4 linked regions of the Danio rerio genome follow. The protein of the gene in region 3 interacts with the protein of the main gene of each other region in a pairwise test. Links are inferred from orthologs where the notes say so. Each region holds a gene or a part of one and is shown on either strand. Other genes may lie near its edges.

What was found.
Region 1: the proteins of vps52 (region 3) and ddx6 interact in binary tests that used the Homo sapiens proteins (3 or more experiments, as listed by UniProt). The two-hybrid records come from large-scale screens. The link is inferred for Danio rerio from reciprocal best matches to the Homo sapiens genes VPS52 and DDX6.
Region 2: the proteins of vps52 (region 3) and fam161a interact in binary tests that used the Homo sapiens proteins (3 or more experiments, as listed by UniProt). The link is inferred for Danio rerio from reciprocal best matches to the Homo sapiens genes VPS52 and FAM161A.
Region 4: the proteins of vps52 (region 3) and wtap interact in binary tests that used the Homo sapiens proteins (3 or more experiments, as listed by UniProt). The two-hybrid records come from large-scale screens. The link is inferred for Danio rerio from reciprocal best matches to the Homo sapiens genes VPS52 and WTAP.

What each region holds. Positions count from the first base shown.
Region 1 is NC_133193.1:46,835,562-46,839,671, forward strand, and holds part of ddx6 (probable ATP-dependent RNA helicase DDX6), read right to left. Parts: intron 2,297-4,110; 5' UTR 1,865-2,296; coding exon 1,662-1,864; intron 1,578-1,661; coding exon 1,514-1,577; intron 1,399-1,513; coding exon 1,294-1,398; intron 1-1,293.
Region 2 is NC_133176.1:57,142,814-57,147,354, forward strand, and holds the start of fam161a (protein FAM161A), read right to left. Parts: upstream 3,114-4,541; 5' UTR 3,022-3,113; coding exon 2,869-3,021; intron 1,653-2,868; coding exon 1,390-1,652; intron 1-1,389. UniProt on the Homo sapiens protein: Involved in ciliogenesis.
Region 3 is NC_133194.1:20,899,141-20,902,761, forward strand, and holds the end of vps52 (vacuolar protein sorting-associated protein 52 homolog), read left to right. Parts: intron 1-1,611; coding exon 1,612-1,730; intron 1,731-1,843; coding exon 1,844-1,990; 3' UTR 1,991-2,857; downstream 2,858-3,621. UniProt on the Homo sapiens protein: Acts as a component of the GARP complex that is involved in retrograde transport from early and late endosomes to the trans-Golgi network (TGN).
Region 4 is NC_133195.1:33,717,023-33,721,906, forward strand, and holds the end of wtap (pre-mRNA-splicing regulator WTAP), read right to left. Parts: coding exon 4,780-4,884; exon of another isoform or gene 4,055-4,779; intron 2,462-4,054; coding exon 2,307-2,461; intron 2,200-2,306; coding exon 1,535-2,199; 3' UTR 996-1,534; downstream 1-995. UniProt on the Homo sapiens protein: Associated component of the WMM complex, a complex that mediates N6-methyladenosine (m6A) methylation of RNAs, a modification that plays a role in the efficiency of mRNA splicing and RNA processing.

The sequences.
Region 1 (4,110 bases), on a different chromosome or scaffold from region 3:
TGATGTCCATAAATGACTATGGAAGTCAGTTATTGCCAGCTACCTAAATATCTACTTTGGTGACTAACAGAACTCAAAAGGTTTAAAACCACATGAGCAAATGATTGTTTAATACAATGCCAGATCGTATGGCTATTTTCACAGCGAGAAAAAGGTATTCTGGAGACATAAATTATAATAAGGCTTTTCAATTTATATTTGCTAAACTCTCCAACTTTTAGATTATCAGTGTAAAAAAACTGCTTTAAAAAAATGAACTGAATAAAAAAAAAAACAAGAAAAAAACAATTCTCACAAAATTAAATCCAACAATTAAAAAAAAATTTAAAGTGCTTTCACAAATAGAACCGTGTGGGAGGATCTTCTCCAGGTATTAAGAACTTGTCATTCTGGAGTGACTGATTCTACAATGGATAAAAACAATGTGGTCCCAATGGTTAGAAAATTTATAGAAGTTTCTTTCACCAGCAATAAGCCAATTTCGAGAAGTTTTTTTTTTTTTTTGCATGCAGATCTCATTCTCTGTCAATGAACGTATGAACAAAGTTTGTTTTGGATTCAAAAAAAAGTTACTGGACAAATTCTCATTTTTAGGTGAATATCCCTTTAAGAATCCACTGTCTCACTATGAGGACATGTATCATCTCCAGAACTGATCAGACAGTCACTGTGCAAGCATTTCACAGTTTCATGCGATAAACACTATCGTTACAATCACACACAGTTAAAATGCCTTTAGTCAAACTTAAAATTTGGTTGAGCTTTATTTAAAAAAAAAAAAAAACTTATTTCAAATAATTAAATTTGAAAAATAAATAATTAACATTAATATTGTGAATTAGAAAGTCCCATTACTACTATGGATGTACATTTACAATTAAGTCAACAATAAATCGGTTGCAACAATCTCAGGATACAAAAAATAAAAATTTATAATTATTTTACTAAACATTGTTTCGCCCTTACATTTGATTATCCAATTACTGCCAATAAATTTATTAAATTCTAGAAGACAACTTAAAAATAAAAAAAACTAAATTTGCACATGATTTGATTTAAATTAAGACAATCTAAAAAAGTAAAAATAAATCAGAACTTGATTAAAACTGATTATTTTAATAGATTTAATGTTACAAATTAAAATTACATTTAAATATTAGGACTGCATTGATGAAAAAGTAACTAGGCTCTACACATGGTATAAGTGTTAAGACTCTTTAAGATCAAGACTGCCCTCTTCAAATAATAGTAATTCATATCTAAAATTTCCAGTGTCTTTATTTTGCCTCTTGCCTGTATAGGTGATGGTTTCTCCCAGCCCATTTCAAAGATGCCCATAAGCAGCTCTCGTTTTAGGCAATAATCTTCAAACTCATTTCCCTTGGTCGCCGTCACATCCTGCAAAATTCACAATCATTGAGTGTTCTAGAAATGTTAAAGAAATCAAAAAAGCATTGTGGTTCACAGCCTTTATAAAATTAAATAAAAAACACAAAATTACAGAGGGACTTACTGATGTTTTCATTCGCAAATCTTTTGGAGGAAGCTTTAGATTCTTCTTCCAGTCATCTCCAGGCCTGATACATGGGAAGGGAAAGAAAAAGTTAAATACCAAATCATCTCTAAGAAAGCAGCACACAGCGGCATTTGCAAGGACTTACTTGATGATAGTGTTGGCTGTGGGTACAGGCTGGGAGTTGCCATTGTTGACTGTGCTAGAGGCTTTGACCTGGGCAGGCTGTGTTGTTTGGGACCCCCCTCCACCTCCACCGGGACCCCCTGCTGGCTTCACAGAACCTCGCATTTGGCCGTTCTGATTGGACAGTCCCAGAATCACTGGGTTCTCCATTCTGGCTGTACTCATGACTTAAATATTCTCTCTTGAAACAGTGAGCGACAAACAACAGTGGAGATAATACTTTCTCTTGATGGTCTTGCAAAAAAATTAATTTGCAAGTCGTCCTTCCCACAGCTTTCTCAGTGTCCAAAGCGCACAAAAGCAAAAAAAAAAAAAAAAAAAAAGTTCAAGCAAAATTTTTTTACCAGTTCCTTGTTCCTCAATATAAAAGTCTCTTGTGGAACATCTCAATATGAATGTCACTCAAGCAACAGGTCACAGATGCTATAAGCAGGAAGATTAGCTTCAATTATCCTTCCATTAATGAGTGAATTTCTCCTCTGCAAAAGGAAAGTTTCACAGACAAGGGGCCAGGAAGCCAGTGTTAGTCTTTTCAATTGTTCTGTCCATTCCCTTCTCTCAAATTAGTTAACATGGGCGATTTCAAATGTTTTCCACCTGTGTGAGAGAGAGAAGCATTATAAACGTGAAACGTTAGACCAAACCACTACAAGATTTCAGTCAATAAAAACACTGGTTACTGGTTCCAATTTTTTTTTCAGTTAGAGGATTTTCCAAAAAAAAAAAAAAAAAAAAACTGGCATCATGCCACATCTTACAGTAGCAAAGAGAGCTTAAATAAAATAAAAAAGCATGCAAATACAAAAAAATGCCAGCAAATTCAGAAAAGATCACAAAAAAATTGTGCTTTTTGATAGTGCGGTGAGAAATTGCAGTGATGAAATTCATTTTTCATTTTCATAAGTTTGCATTATAAGAAAATGCAGTGCGTTTTATTCATTTGTTTGCATTGTGAGAAAATTAAGTGAATTTTTTAAAAAATTTGCGTTGTGAGGATTTGCATAACGTGCTGTAAAATGGATGAATAGGGCTAGGCAATTAATCGAAATCAACATTCACTAATAATCGATCTAATTTTTCCAGGACAATTTTCACAAGTACTTTCCCTACGTGTCAGGTGACCCTGCTTTGTTAAAGGCTGTGGCTAATTTCTACTTCTGTAGCCAAATATGACCTTTGGTCAAGTAGGACGATGGACTCATTCTTGAGCCTTACTTTGCACTACATTGACGAGGATTGGAAGCTGTGCCAGAAATGCCTTTAGACAGCACATAAAACTTTGAGGGCAAATAAATAAAATATTTGTTGAATTTTCTAAATGGTTAGTTTTAGATTTTGATTTTAGGCCAAATGGACCAGCCCTACAGATGAAGATCTTTTCTTATTTTGCTGGTGTTGTTTTGTGTTTTTATCTTATATATATATATATATATATATATATATATATATATATATATATATATATATATATATATATATATATATATATATATATATATATATATATATATATATATATATATATATATGTATAAATAAATATACACACACACACACAAGTTTTAAGATTTCATAGTGGCTAATATTATGACACCATATGCAAATTGGTAAACAGAGATTTTAAAAATAAATCGCTTTGTACAAGATCTGAGATAATTCCCAAATCACTACAAATTCAAAAATTTTGATCCATCAAGTTTGTACATGTTAACATTTTGTAGCAAAATCTCAATATGCAAAACTTGCTTAATGCCATCCGGACATTAACTTAAAAATATTTCTTCATCTGAACCATTTATGAAACTTAAGGAGAAGAGAAGGATGAACAATGAGTATATAAAAATTGCTTTATTGGTGTCTATGTAAACGTGATTAAGACAATATTCTGATTAAGAGTCCATGCAAATAGCGATAAATTAATCTGATTAAGGTCATTATCAAATTAAACAAATAAGATTAAGACATGGAGTATGCCAATTTTAGTCACATTACTAAACTGCAGTAGACATGTAAACACCTTGAATGAAACTATTACCATCATGTGGGATTTGCTGCATTTTGTGACTGGACATTTCATACACACAGCTGTTTGACACTATTCTCTGTACCTACCGAGTCAGTGAGGAATCACAGACACCTGCATCATGAAATGTGGAGTTTATGTTTCCAATACTGCGTGCGTTATCAAATTCCAATAAAACGACCCTCTTACAGCATTAAATACTCATCCAATATTTCATTTGTCAGGGGAGGCATGCATGAAATGTTCCTGAGTGAAAGTGCCAAACTGCAGTTAAAGTCGACAAATTTAAAACACCGGAAATTACATGATATCCCAGAGGAAATGTGAATAGCGTGGCGATTCTATGAAGTTAATTGAATTGTGCTACAACATGTAAAACAGGATCATG
Region 2 (4,541 bases), on a different chromosome or scaffold from region 3:
TCTGTGTGGAGTTTGCATGTTCTCCCCGTGTTGGTGATGGAGTTTCCTCCAGGTGCTCCGGTTTCCCCCACAAGTCCAAACACATGCACTATAGGCAAATTGAATAAGATAAATTGGCTGTAGTATATGTGTGTGCATAGGAGAGTGTATGAGTGTGTGTTGCGGTTGGAAGGGCATCAGCTGTGTAAAACATATGCTGGATAAGTTGGCAGTTCCTTCCGCTGGGGCGACCTCTGATAAATTTAGGGATGAAGCCGAAGGAATATGAATGAATGGTCACTGTAATTAAACTACTTTTACACTGAAAATTGTACAAAAGTAAGGGATTACTGTTCATTTTTAGGTTAATTAATTATAGGTATTTGTATTGTACTTTCATTGTAGAAATCAATTGAGAAAAACAAAGAAATATTTTTTTTTCTCAGTAATGCAACTATAGTTAACTGTATAACTCTGTTTTTCAACTAAAGATAGTTACACATGTCAATCATGCTTAAAAAAATTATTAATTAAAAAATTAGTTTTGACACATTTAACCTTTGACCTTCAAACTTTTTGTTTGTAAACTAAAATTCACGTTAGTTATTGACCTGCTTTACTTTTAATTTTGTAAAAGTTTGACTCTGATTCAATTTTCTATTGTCTACTCATTAAGATTTATAGGAATTTTATGTAGTATTAAGTCAGTTACTTTAGTAGTGATCAAATAATTTTTCAGATATAGTAATAGAAAAGTTATTTAAATACAATGGAGTTTTAATTATTAATAATTAGTAGGCAAATTAAATATTTTTTGAAGAAACTTAGCCAAAACTGCTACTACTTAAATGAAAGAAAATCCCTAATTTTCATAAAAATTCTGAGCGGCATCTATCTTTTTTAACGTCTTTGATAGTAAGAAATGTTTCTTGAGCAGTGAAACAGCATTACAATGATTTCTGATAGATCGCATGACACTGAAGACTAGCCGCAAATTCAGCATTGCATCACAGGAATAAATTCATTCATTCATTCATTTTCCTTTGGCTTAGTCCCTTGATTTATCAGGGGACATCAAAGCGGAATAAAGTGCCAACTTAACCAGCATTTGTTAAACACAGCGGATAATCTTCCAGCTGCAACCCAGTCCTGGGAAACATCCATACACACTCATTCACACACATACACTATAGCCAATTTAGTTTGCAAACTCCACACAGAAATGCCAACTGACCCAGCTGGGCCTCGAACCAGCAACCTTCTTGCTTTGAGGTGACAGTGCTAACCACTGAGCCATTGTGTTGCTCTCAGGAATAAATGATAATGCGAAATATATTCAAATATAAAACATTTAAAATATGATAACATTTCACTTATTATTGTGCTTATATATTATGTACATAAACTCACAGATTGGCCCGCTCAGTGTTGTCCACAGCAGTCGCTCCTTTAAGGTCGAGTTTCTTGCGATACATTAGTTCGAGTTCAGCCATTGTTTGGAGGTGAGCTGTTTTCAGCTGTTCTAGTTTACGGTAGTACTCCTGGTTTGAGAAGTAAAACTCCCTGAGGTCGATGCGATCGCCCGTCACACGGTAGTCTTTGATAAGCAGAGCATTGTTGTCTTTGGCAGGAGGGTCATCAGCCACCAAATCAGATCCAGAGTCATACTCCATCTGTTAAAATGTATGTAAAATGTAAAATTAAAATGTATTGTAAAATGCACACTATGATAACAGGCGGATTTGTTAGCATACATCCAAACAGGTTAAAATGCCAATGGATAACTATAGGTTTTATATTATTAAAGAGACAGTACGACCAAATATGTGCTTACTGTTGACTTGTTTCAAACCAGTTTGACTTTCTTCTGTTGAACACAAAAGAAGATAATTTGAAAAATGCTGAAAACATGTAACCATTGACTTCCTTAGTAGGAAAAACAAATATTATAGACGTCAATGATTACTGGTTTCCAACATCCTTCGAAATGTCTTCTTTCGTGGTCATGAAAACAAACTCAAATTGGTTTGGAAAAGAAGGCTGAATTTTCATTTTTGGGTGAAGTATCCCTTTAAAACCTTTTCATATATTTATTAAATACGCAACCTAATCTGTGTAATTCTTTAGGAAGCCTTGACTGAGAAAACAGTGGTGTTACAGACGTGTTTATATATACAAAGAAACCAAGGACTGTTGGCTGAAGCCTTGTGTTTTCATACGTCACACTCTTCTATAGTGAAATTTAAGTCTGAACAACATTTGTGCGGTCAGTAGTTGTATGTGTGCAACATGAGAAGACTGTGTGTGTGTAATCTGTTAATCTGCAGGTCTGTGTCAGCTTTAGGACCAGATGGCAGATTGTGTTCTCCATTCATACAGGAGATTGTCTGTTTAATCAGCATCCTGGTCATGTTATCAACACTATATTACTCTACATCTTACATCATGCTAACAAATAAGGTTGTGTATTGCAGAAAAAGATAAATAAAATAGTAACGTTACGTATGTAACATATTAACCTTTGAGGTTTATTTAGTTATATTTAGCTATACCCATGTAAACACTCATAACCACAGTGAAGCCTATTGATTTGTCCTTATTACTTTTAAACGAGCAAAACATGATTTTTGAACCATTTTCATGGAGTTACACAAGTTAAAACTAAAGTTAATGTTTCCACTTAATCCATTAAAGAGATGTTTAACCAGTCTATCATGTTAACTTCACGGACACAACTCCTCGCAACATTGTCTCCTCAAAATAGTTTCAATCCCAAAAAAGAAAAGACATTTCCATTGATGTAATGACTTTTTACACGTTAAACATCACCATCATCCTTTAAAATAACTTTAGAACTGTATTTATTGCGGTTTAATAGCTTTTAGTCACCTCTTTTTCATAGTGCCTGTTGTCCGTCATCGCGGCCGCGCGCGGCAGTGTCCGCTCCCGCTCGTACTGAGCTAACGGCACTTTGGTTTGCGGGTCCACCGGGGTCTTCAGACAGGATGTCACCAAGACATTTGTACGGTGCGATTTCTTCATATCTGCTTCTCTTTCCAAAGCGGTAGATTTGATATAAACGAATGACTGACTGACTTCCTCCCTGAACCGTAGCGGGAGCGCGTCTCCTTGACGACCGCGTAGCGTCGGGGGCGCTAATCTGCGGGAGCGCGCATTTGAAAGAACTAGTAAGGATGTAAACATTTCTCTCCGTTTTAACCCTACTGTTGTCTTGGAATTCTGTATACACCATTCGTCCTTCGGTGAAAAACTACTAAACCTCTAAAATAAATCAGATAAATTACATTTCAATCCTTAAATAAATTTTAAACGAAGAAACTACCTCATTTTCATCACAAACTCTGTGAATGTCTAGTTTTCCCCTCATTAGTGTTTCATCAATGTTTAGTCAGTGGGCAACACTCGTTTCTGACTGAAGGGTATATTTACCAATGCTAAAAGACACCTGGATAAGTGTACAAAGGTTTATATAAAGCAACAGTTTCTCATTGTTTGTTAAAGTGTGAATGCGTGTGTGCCAGTAGACTTTGTGGTGTAAAAATGGCCTTATATCTGGCTAGTTAAAATTGACCCAAAGGACCACTGTTGTACCATTTGTACGTAAGGTTGGGCTAAATTTAGAAGTCACCAAACTTCAAGACAAAAAAATTAATTAAAAAATAAATAAAAACATTGTAGGCTATAGTTTTTTTGGCTGTTAAAATGGCACCCTAATTTTTCCACGACTAGTAATCTTAAGTATTAGTTTCCAGGTGCTTTTTGAACAATAAACACATACTTAAAGCATATATTTAAATACATAAATATTTTTAAAATGTTTTCAGCTAGCTGTAAATGGTACTACTTTGGACTATTCCACTTGCCATACTCTTAAAAAATGATGACTAAAGATATTTTAATAAAATAAAACTGTTTACCACACCCTTAAAATGAGCCATGTCCTAAAATACCAGCATTCAATTTTGTTGCTACAAGATTTCCTGTAATTAATAAAAATTATACACTCATTAAAATTACATTTACCAAAATGTATAAACCCAACCATTAATATTATGCGTATCCTCATACCAAAATAAGCTTCTTTTTTAATTCAAAAGTTCAGAAAAATGTACTTACATAAATTTAAAAGCAGACCAAATACTGGTTAAAATCACGTTACAGGGAAATACCAAGTTTAGCAAATTAGGTTAAAACACTCTAGCGCATTTCTAAAATAAAAACAAAGGTTGTTTATTAGAAGAGTGAATGTCCAGCTCTTGATTTCAGACTTTCTCAGGCCCTGGAGCAATGCTCTATTCTGATCAGATAAGGTGATTAGCTAATAAGATTAAGCTGACATGCAGAGATGCACCGACCACAGTAAACCCTCAATAAACCTAACAGAAACAAAAACATGTGCACAAATAACACCAAAGACAAGACATACAGTGTCAAAAAAAACATGTTTAATTAAATTACTCCAGGTAACATCTACAGACAGCGACAGATCAGTTGGTCTTATCGGAGTGCCGGCGCGGGGTTTGGATCTTCCTTCTTCAAAC
Region 3 (3,621 bases):
ATGAAAACTTAATCAAAAATGAGCATCACTATGTCTGTATGTATGCACAGAGATCAAGCCTCTCATCTGAGAATGTGGACATTGTGCTGTTCTTGAAGAAGAACTTAAAACTTATTTAAATATTCCAAATGTCCTTAGACAGGACAAGCCTGTTTATCTTTCACTAGTCTACACTGCAGTTATTTATTTAACTTTAGTTTACTTAGTTAAGATGGCTGCACTAAAGATAATAGTTTTTTCTGATTGGTCTATATTGGAGGTATTTATTTAATTGTTGTTGTTTACTCGGGTATCCTGACTGTACTAAAATGTGAAAACTGAAAATTCTGTGACCATTAACTCACCTTTACTTCCAAACCGGGTTGTTCCAAACCGGTTTTATTTTTATTTTTTTCTGATGTTAAACAATAATATCCAATAACTTGTAGGTAATGTCTTTGGTTGTTGAAAACTTGAACTGTAAATGCTGAATTAAGATTGTTCTTTTGTTTATTATTGTATTATTTATATTGTCAGACAGCTAAAACATTTAACTTAATGTGTTAAATCAGCTGCACAGAGCATTTGGCATACTGAAAATCTTGTAAAATGGATAGATATAAAGATTTTACGTTTATCGTGATAAATATCGACATCGACTGATACAAAAAAAATAATCGTGATAATTTTTTTTGCCATATTGCCCAGCTCTATGTTCATCTTTTAGTGTACTTTCACACTAGCTCTTGTGGTTGGTGCTCATCTGGGTTTATTTGACATCAGAGTTTGGTTCATTTGGCTAATGTGTATGGCGAGTGAATAGTGATACAAATCACCAAAGGACACTGTACTTCTAGCTGTGAAACCTTCACAGATGTGTGACACCCATGTCACCTCAAAATGTGATTAATGTGATTATTGAGATATAACACAATTTAACAATTTAATATAACACCCAACATAAATTATAAATGATAGTGTTGAACAGTAAATACTGGGATAATAGTTTCTAGTTTACATATAAACACTGGTGTTTACGGTAAGGATTAAATTATTAAATTAAACACTGTTTAAATGACAGTGCTTTTAACTTGACGTTCAAAAATAAAAGTTGTAGCACCAATTGCATTATTTCACCAGCAGGTAGATTCAGCCATCAAAATTTGCCACTAAATAATTCTTCAGAAATTATACACATAGTAATGAAACTTGACGTTTTATGAGTGAATTACTCGATCATACATTGAAAATGAGACAAAAAAATAAATACAATGTGTTGTTTAAATTATAATATTAGATTTTTACATTTAGCATTATTAGCAACTGTAGCAAAGATCATTTCTCACAGTATTGCATATTTTATGATTTATTTTTATTCAATGGATTATTTATTTATTTATATTTTTCTTAATAAAATTGCAGCTTCTATTTGTTCTATTTGTTAAAACCAAAAGTTTCTCGTAGTACTATTTCTGTAATATATATATATGTGTGTGTGTGTGTGTGTGTGTGTGTGTGTGTGTGTGTGTGTGTGTGTGTGTGTGTGTGTGTGTGTGTGTGTGTGTGTGTGTGTGTGTGTGTGTGTGTGTGTGTGTGTGTTATACGCTTTATCTTCCTGTGTCTATTTGTCAGCTCGTATTACTCAGTTGGTGCGGGGATTCTCCGGCACATGGAAGCAGTCTGTGGAGGCCCTGAGTCAGGATGTTATGCGCTCCTTCACCAACTTTAAAAACGGAACCAGCATAATTCAGGTACAACATAATGGCAACTTAAAGTTTTGGGACAATTTTTGTCCTAATGGTTTTCTTTATCTATTTACAATGTGCTGTAACAAATTTGAAATCATTATGGTTGTGTTCACTAGGGAGCGCTGACCCAGCTCATCCAGTACTATCATGGTTTCCATAAGGTCCTCTCCCAGCCAACATTCCGCAGTCTGGCAGTGCGCTCTGAGCTCATAAACCTTCATCATCTGATGGTGGAAGTCAAGAAACACAAACCAAACTTTTGAATGCAACACTTAAGGAAGAAAAACTTTACAAAAAATAAAATAAATAAACAGCTTTCAGAAAATCTATTGACATATTTAAAGGGATAGTTCAAACATTCATTCTTTTTTTTTTTTTTTTGGCTTAGTCTCTTCTTCAGAGGTCACCACAGCAAAATAAACTACCAATTATTCCAGCATATGATTTACAGGGAAAGACCCATACACACGCATTCTAACACATTGTAAACTACGACCATTTTAGTTTATTCCATTTACCTCTACCGCATGTCTTTGGGCTGTGTGGGGTAACCGGAGTGTCCAGAAGATAATTACACGAACCCAGGGATAACATGAAAACAGAAATGCCTGCTGGCCCAGCTGGCGAACCAGCAACATTCTTGCTGTGAGACAACAATTTAATAATTAAGGAACATAAATTTTAAGGCACACTGGAAACCAGTAAACATTGACTTTTAAAGTTAATTATATACTATGGAAGTCAATGGCTACCAGTTTTCAAAAAAAGAAACAGGTTTGGAACAAATTGAGGTAAAGTACATGAGAGGCAGTTGAAAGAATTTTTATTTTTGGGTGACCTTTTTCTTAAACAGAAGTGTGGGTTAATTTTTGTTTCCACTTGGAGTACTTTCTTTCTTTTTGATATTATTAAGAATCATTCAGTATCTTGTTTTAAGCTGATTATGGTATTTTTCATTAGGTGCATTTGATTAGTTTTTCTCCAATGCAATTTGGTTTCTAGCTGTTTAATTTGTAAATGTACTTGCAACTTCACTAAATATTTTATTTATTGTTTTTTTTATTTTAATTTGTGTATGATCTGCATATAATCACATATTTAACCAATCAGAAAGTAAACATTGACCTGTCTTTTGTTTTTCACTGAAAAGTTCTTTATGGATGCATTATTGTTGTATTTAATTTAAAATAATAAAAAAAATACATCTTTTGAAAAAAAAATGCAGCATATTACAGTTTTTCTCAGTCGCTTTGGTGCATTTCTCACTACACTTACATTTGCACAACAGTTAATGCATTTTTCAAAACAATTAGTGCAAACTGCGAAACCTAGCTGTCAAAATGAAAAGTCCTGACACCATTGTTTATGAACAAGATAGTCAAATGGCTTTTCATTAGTCAAATGTCATGTCTTCATTATGACAGTTTACTCTGTACATTTTTTCAATGCAAAAAAAGTTAGATTTTGGTGACACGTCATGAAAATGCTTAAGACAGCACTATATATACTATTAGCACAGCCATTTGAACACTACAGTAAAGTTAGACATCACTGCACTGAGTGAGGTATCTAAGTACAAGACACTGAATATGTATGTTTCACAATTTTACTGCATTTGCTCTTTGCAATCCTAATTTACTCACAGCATTGTGCAAAAGAATAAACACACCCTTATTTACAACAAACATAAACTCCCTTTAGGTAGAGCTGTTCACAACTGTGAACAATATTGCAGTACATATTGGAACTGAGCCTACAACATACACAGGTCTGTAAATCATTCATCAAATTGTTAAATTTTAATGACATTTTCAGGAAAATAAAGATTTAAATTTGTTTTATAAAATTTGTTTGACAGATTTTGACAACTAGTTCACCATTTTTGTATGTAATG
Region 4 (4,884 bases), on a different chromosome or scaffold from region 3:
ATGTATGTGAAAACAGACAAAAATACAGTTTTAATGCTTTATTTGTGATATATTTAGATATTTGTATTAATTATTAAGCAAATTATATATATATTTTTTTTAAAATGTTGATTATTTACTTAATGAATACTATCTAATAGTGTTTAAGGATTTGTGAAGGTTTTGACGACTGACCTGGCCATGGTGCTACAATAACATGACCAATCAGAGGATAATAAACACTAGGGAGAAGACCGAGCAACCAATCAGAGCACGAATACTCGGCAGAGAACGCTGAGCAACCAATAAGAGCGGCTTTACTTTCCTTCTGCACCATAGCGAGACAGTCCAAGACAGCCGTGTAGCACAATCATTCAAATCAACAACTGTGACAAAAAAATACGATTTACTACGGCAAACAGTCTCCTTCAACAAGATTCGTCGTGCAGATCACCTTGTTTTGTTCTTCATTCATGTAACTTAACCATACAGGACATACAACTTTCTACTGTAACCCATAAACAAGCTGCAGATAACAGCTAAAAGGTAGAATGTAACGTTACTTAGTATTGTGAGAAAAGAGCCATAAAGATAGGATATATGAGATTAAGTTTACCTATAGGAGTCCTTGCGGCAGAAACGATAACAATCGCATCCGTGTTCATCTTTGCTGTCCGGTAGGTTGGTTATGTGCTTGGTAGGCTGACTCTGTCTGAATGCAGGTTGTACTGCGGAACGTCCTACTTCTCGGTGTCCCATTCATTTGATAAACGAATACGAAAGCTTTGTCGTCATCAGGACACAAAAGTAGGATGCATTGGTTTTATTTTGAGGTAGCGCCATCTAACGGTGTGGACGGCTAACTAAAACCTAAACCCCAATCTTCTCTACAAATCAGTTGTTTATTAAAATGTCACTTTACAGCAGAACATCAAACTTTTATTTAATTCATTAACTTGATGTTGTTAGACAATCATTTTGACAATTCAAGGCAGAAAAACAAAGCAAGAACAGAGTCATATTAAAACTCTTTATTGATATTTGGTCAGTACATGAAAAGGATCGAAATCAGAATTTAACAAGATACGTCTTGAAAAACTACACACAAGTCAAACAAAAACGTTTTCTCTCGTCATGTAGAGGAACAAAAAAAGTTCAACATCAGGAAACTAAGGACTCTGAACTTGCAGTTTCAAGACTTGAGCATTGATACATCACACATAGCTAAATCATTCAGAGTTCTAGCAAGTGAGCAAATGAACAGTACAGAACCGAGTGTTTATATCACTTCGACAGAGGAAAATGGTTTAAAACTCTCATTAAAAAAAATCAAATATACAAACGCAGTGTTGCTCATTTTATAAACGTAATCAGTTTCGAGCATGTAGCAAATGTACTGAAATAGGTTATGATGGGAAGGAGGGTACAAAACAAAAGTGATGCTTTTGACCACTTCTTGAACAAGAACTAACTGGCCTGAAGTGTGACGGGTTGTTTTGTTTATTTGTTGTGAGTTACTTAAAAAAAAAAAAAATGAACAGAAACTAGAAGAATGTTACAAAACAGACCCTGCAGAGGCATTGGAGGTGTTGGTGGCAACTGCTGCTGCAGATGAGTCCAGGCCATTCTGAGTGCTGTGCCGCGTACCTGCAGTCCTGCTGCCTTTGGGGACAGCAGCGGCCTCGTGGGAGTCAGCATTGGAGTCTGTATCGTTCGAGTGCTGGGTCACTGACGTCTCACTGCCTGTAGGCGAGTCCACGCTCTCATAGCCTGCACTTAGCTGAGTCACGTACCCTTCTCCACCCCTCTGGCTCACTGCATCTTCTGAGTGGTTGGAGAGTTTTGATATGCCATCATGGGTGGGGCTGGAGACAGAGGGTGATGGAGGGTAATCTTCATCTGCACTGCTTGCTTCCCTGTACAAACTAGAGCCAGATGCACCCCTCTGAGATGAGTTCCCATTGGAGGGTCCATTGGACACCCTTCCGCAGTCTTTCCCCACATTTGAACTGGAGGCGTTGGCTGGTTCACTCTGAGTGGAAGGTTCGGAGGCTGTTGAAGGGGAAGTTCTGCTTGGGCCAGCTCCACTAGAAGTGCCTTGGGTTTGGTTCATCTGAGACAGCTGCTGCCTGGTCTCCCTCAGCTGCTGCTGCAGAACCAGGATGGTGCTCTGCATGCCCTCCACCTCCTCATCCAGCTGAATGATGAAGTCATTCAGCTCTGGACCACAAAAATACATGGGTAAAAAAAGAGAACACACAAAGATGAGTGGAGATCTGCTCAAAACAATCCAGAATGGAGTTGACCAAAGAAAGACTTTCGCTCACCATCTTGGCTGCTTTTGAGCTCTTCGCTGTACTTCTTCTGCAAGGCAAGCTCGGCCTCCAACTGGGCTATGCGCCCTTGGGAAAGCTGCCTACCCAACTCCTGATTCTCCTGGATCAGCATGCGACATTTCGCCATCAGCTTCTTACCAGTCTGGCTGCAAGGGAAACAAGTCTAACATCACATCGTGAACATGGCCACAGGGTCAACACAAGTGACCATTGCATTTACAAACTAGAAGGTAACAACCAGAAATAGCTTCCAACTCTCCAATGGCCACACTGGTCTTCGGACTGGTAAATATAGTTGACCATTAGAGTATGTTTACAAGCACTAATGAAAACAGCTTGGTATTCTTAAGAAAGTCAACATGATTTAACATTGGCAGAATGCTAGCAGAGATTGTGTCTTATGTAGTCATGTAAATGCATAGGCAGCTTTTTGAAGAGTGCATGGAAAAAGATCAGGCAGCCAAATAAATGCTAATCGTGCCACAGGTATATGCTGCTTTGACAAAACATGTCAGCACAATGATACTTTCACAAATCTTTCGCAATAAGCAGTTTCCTGGTGTGCATGTAAACATACTCAACAACAATCAAGAAAATCAAGTAACAGTTTAAACAATACTGGGAAAAGATGCATGAACATTTGGCAGACCAAATCAAGTAAACCAACAAGTGCAATACATCTGAACGCATCTAACAGGATAGTACTCCAGGTAATTGACCATGGTACAAAACCAATTAGCAATTTCCATTTCAGTGACTATTAGTACCTACCTGTTAATCTAAAAGTAGCTACGAGCTACCAACAATATCTGCATCAGTTGATTAAAAAAATGACTGGTTCTATACTACATGACAAAGAGTCTTGACAGTAGGCAGATCAATTTCTTATCACTGCAAAATATTACAAAGATGCAATAAAGTTGCATGGCCAGAGCGCTTCATTTAAATTAGCAGCACCTTTAACCTATTTCCAGTAAAAAACTTGGCAAAGATTATACTGATATGTTGATGTTTTCTTTAGTATTAGAATATACTTGAGTGCTTTTCTGCCAGATACAGCAGTAACACTACTGTCCTTAAACAATAAGACTTAAACTCTCTTCAGAACGAATGCTCACATTTTACATTTAAGAGCAGTTTGAGATCAAATGTAACAACAATCAAATACAAACAATTTCCTTAAACCAATTCAGCAACTTTTATGGGAATCCTACAACTAACTTCCAATGACAACCGCTTAATTCTTTATGCCACTTTAGAGCAGTCAATATTTCAAAAGACTTTTGACTAAATATTTTCAACTACTTTTGATTCACTCAGATAGGAAATCCAACAAAGTTGAAGTGTAAGATTTTGCTAGAACATTTCTAATGAGCAAAATACCTGCAAAAAATTTGTGACCTGAGAGAAAAAAAAAAAGAAAATTAAACTTTCACTGGATGACCGAAAAATAAAAAGTGGATTAGAAAGGTACACAAGTTAAAATACAAATGATCATACACAGACATTTGAACATTGAATAGCTGTACTATTCACACATATTACTATCACACATGGCACATTTGCATTCACATCGAAAAGAACAATTATATTCGCATCCACAGCAGTGCAACAGCCAATTTTAAATAAATTCAATTCGTTTGGACCACTCTACTGTGAATGCAAGGAGTGTTTCCAGAGCAAAAACAAAGTATAATATTACGAACACAAAAAAAGATAAAAGGTTTAAGACACTGTACCGTATGTCGCACCTGTGAGATGAACATATATGAAAGTCTTTGCAGATCAGAATGTCTGATTCCTCCCCCAAAGTCTTACATCATAAAGGCTTTCTCCCCCAAAGTCTTAAGATTGCTTAACTCCACCCCCATTTCATTGCATCACACTACATTCCCGCCTCCCTGTTTTACATTCTAGATTCTTAACCAGAGTCTCAAAGCATCTATGATGGAGTTTATATGGGGGCATTTTCCTCTGCAACACATTTAGTTGGGCCATGTCATGTTTTAAATGTTCAATCAGTGACCTGCAAACTACAGTTCAACCAGCTCCAGAGCCAACGCTTTGCTCAAGTCTTTCATAGGCCGCCTTATTTGTTACAGGAAGCTTTCTAACACGGGCTGAGTTTCCGACGTGACCACCTCTTCAGGAACAGTCCCGATTCCTTCAGGCTTCTGTACCATGAGGGGTGTGGGGGGGAGAGAAAGAGCTGAAACAAAAGTGTCACCTGACCAAACTGCCGTGTTCTGTTCTGATTTTACATTACGGTATGTGTAATAGCAGGGCAATACAAAAGAAAAATGTCTTTTGTTCTGAGCTTTTTTGCTTTAAAGTCTGAGTCTCGTTGTGAGCAACACATTTCAGTCTTCCCCCACCATTATCTGCACTCCTGCAGAGGAGAAGGTGGGGGTGAATCAGGAAAGTCTTGACTTTTTGTTTGGAGGGGGGAGTTATTTTAGTTTACCTATCAGGTGTAAATTTCCAGGCACTCAGTTCATTTTGGGCTTGCTCCAGTTTGTCTTTAGTCTGTTCCAGTTCAGCCTTCATTTTGAGGAAAAATAAGTTGATG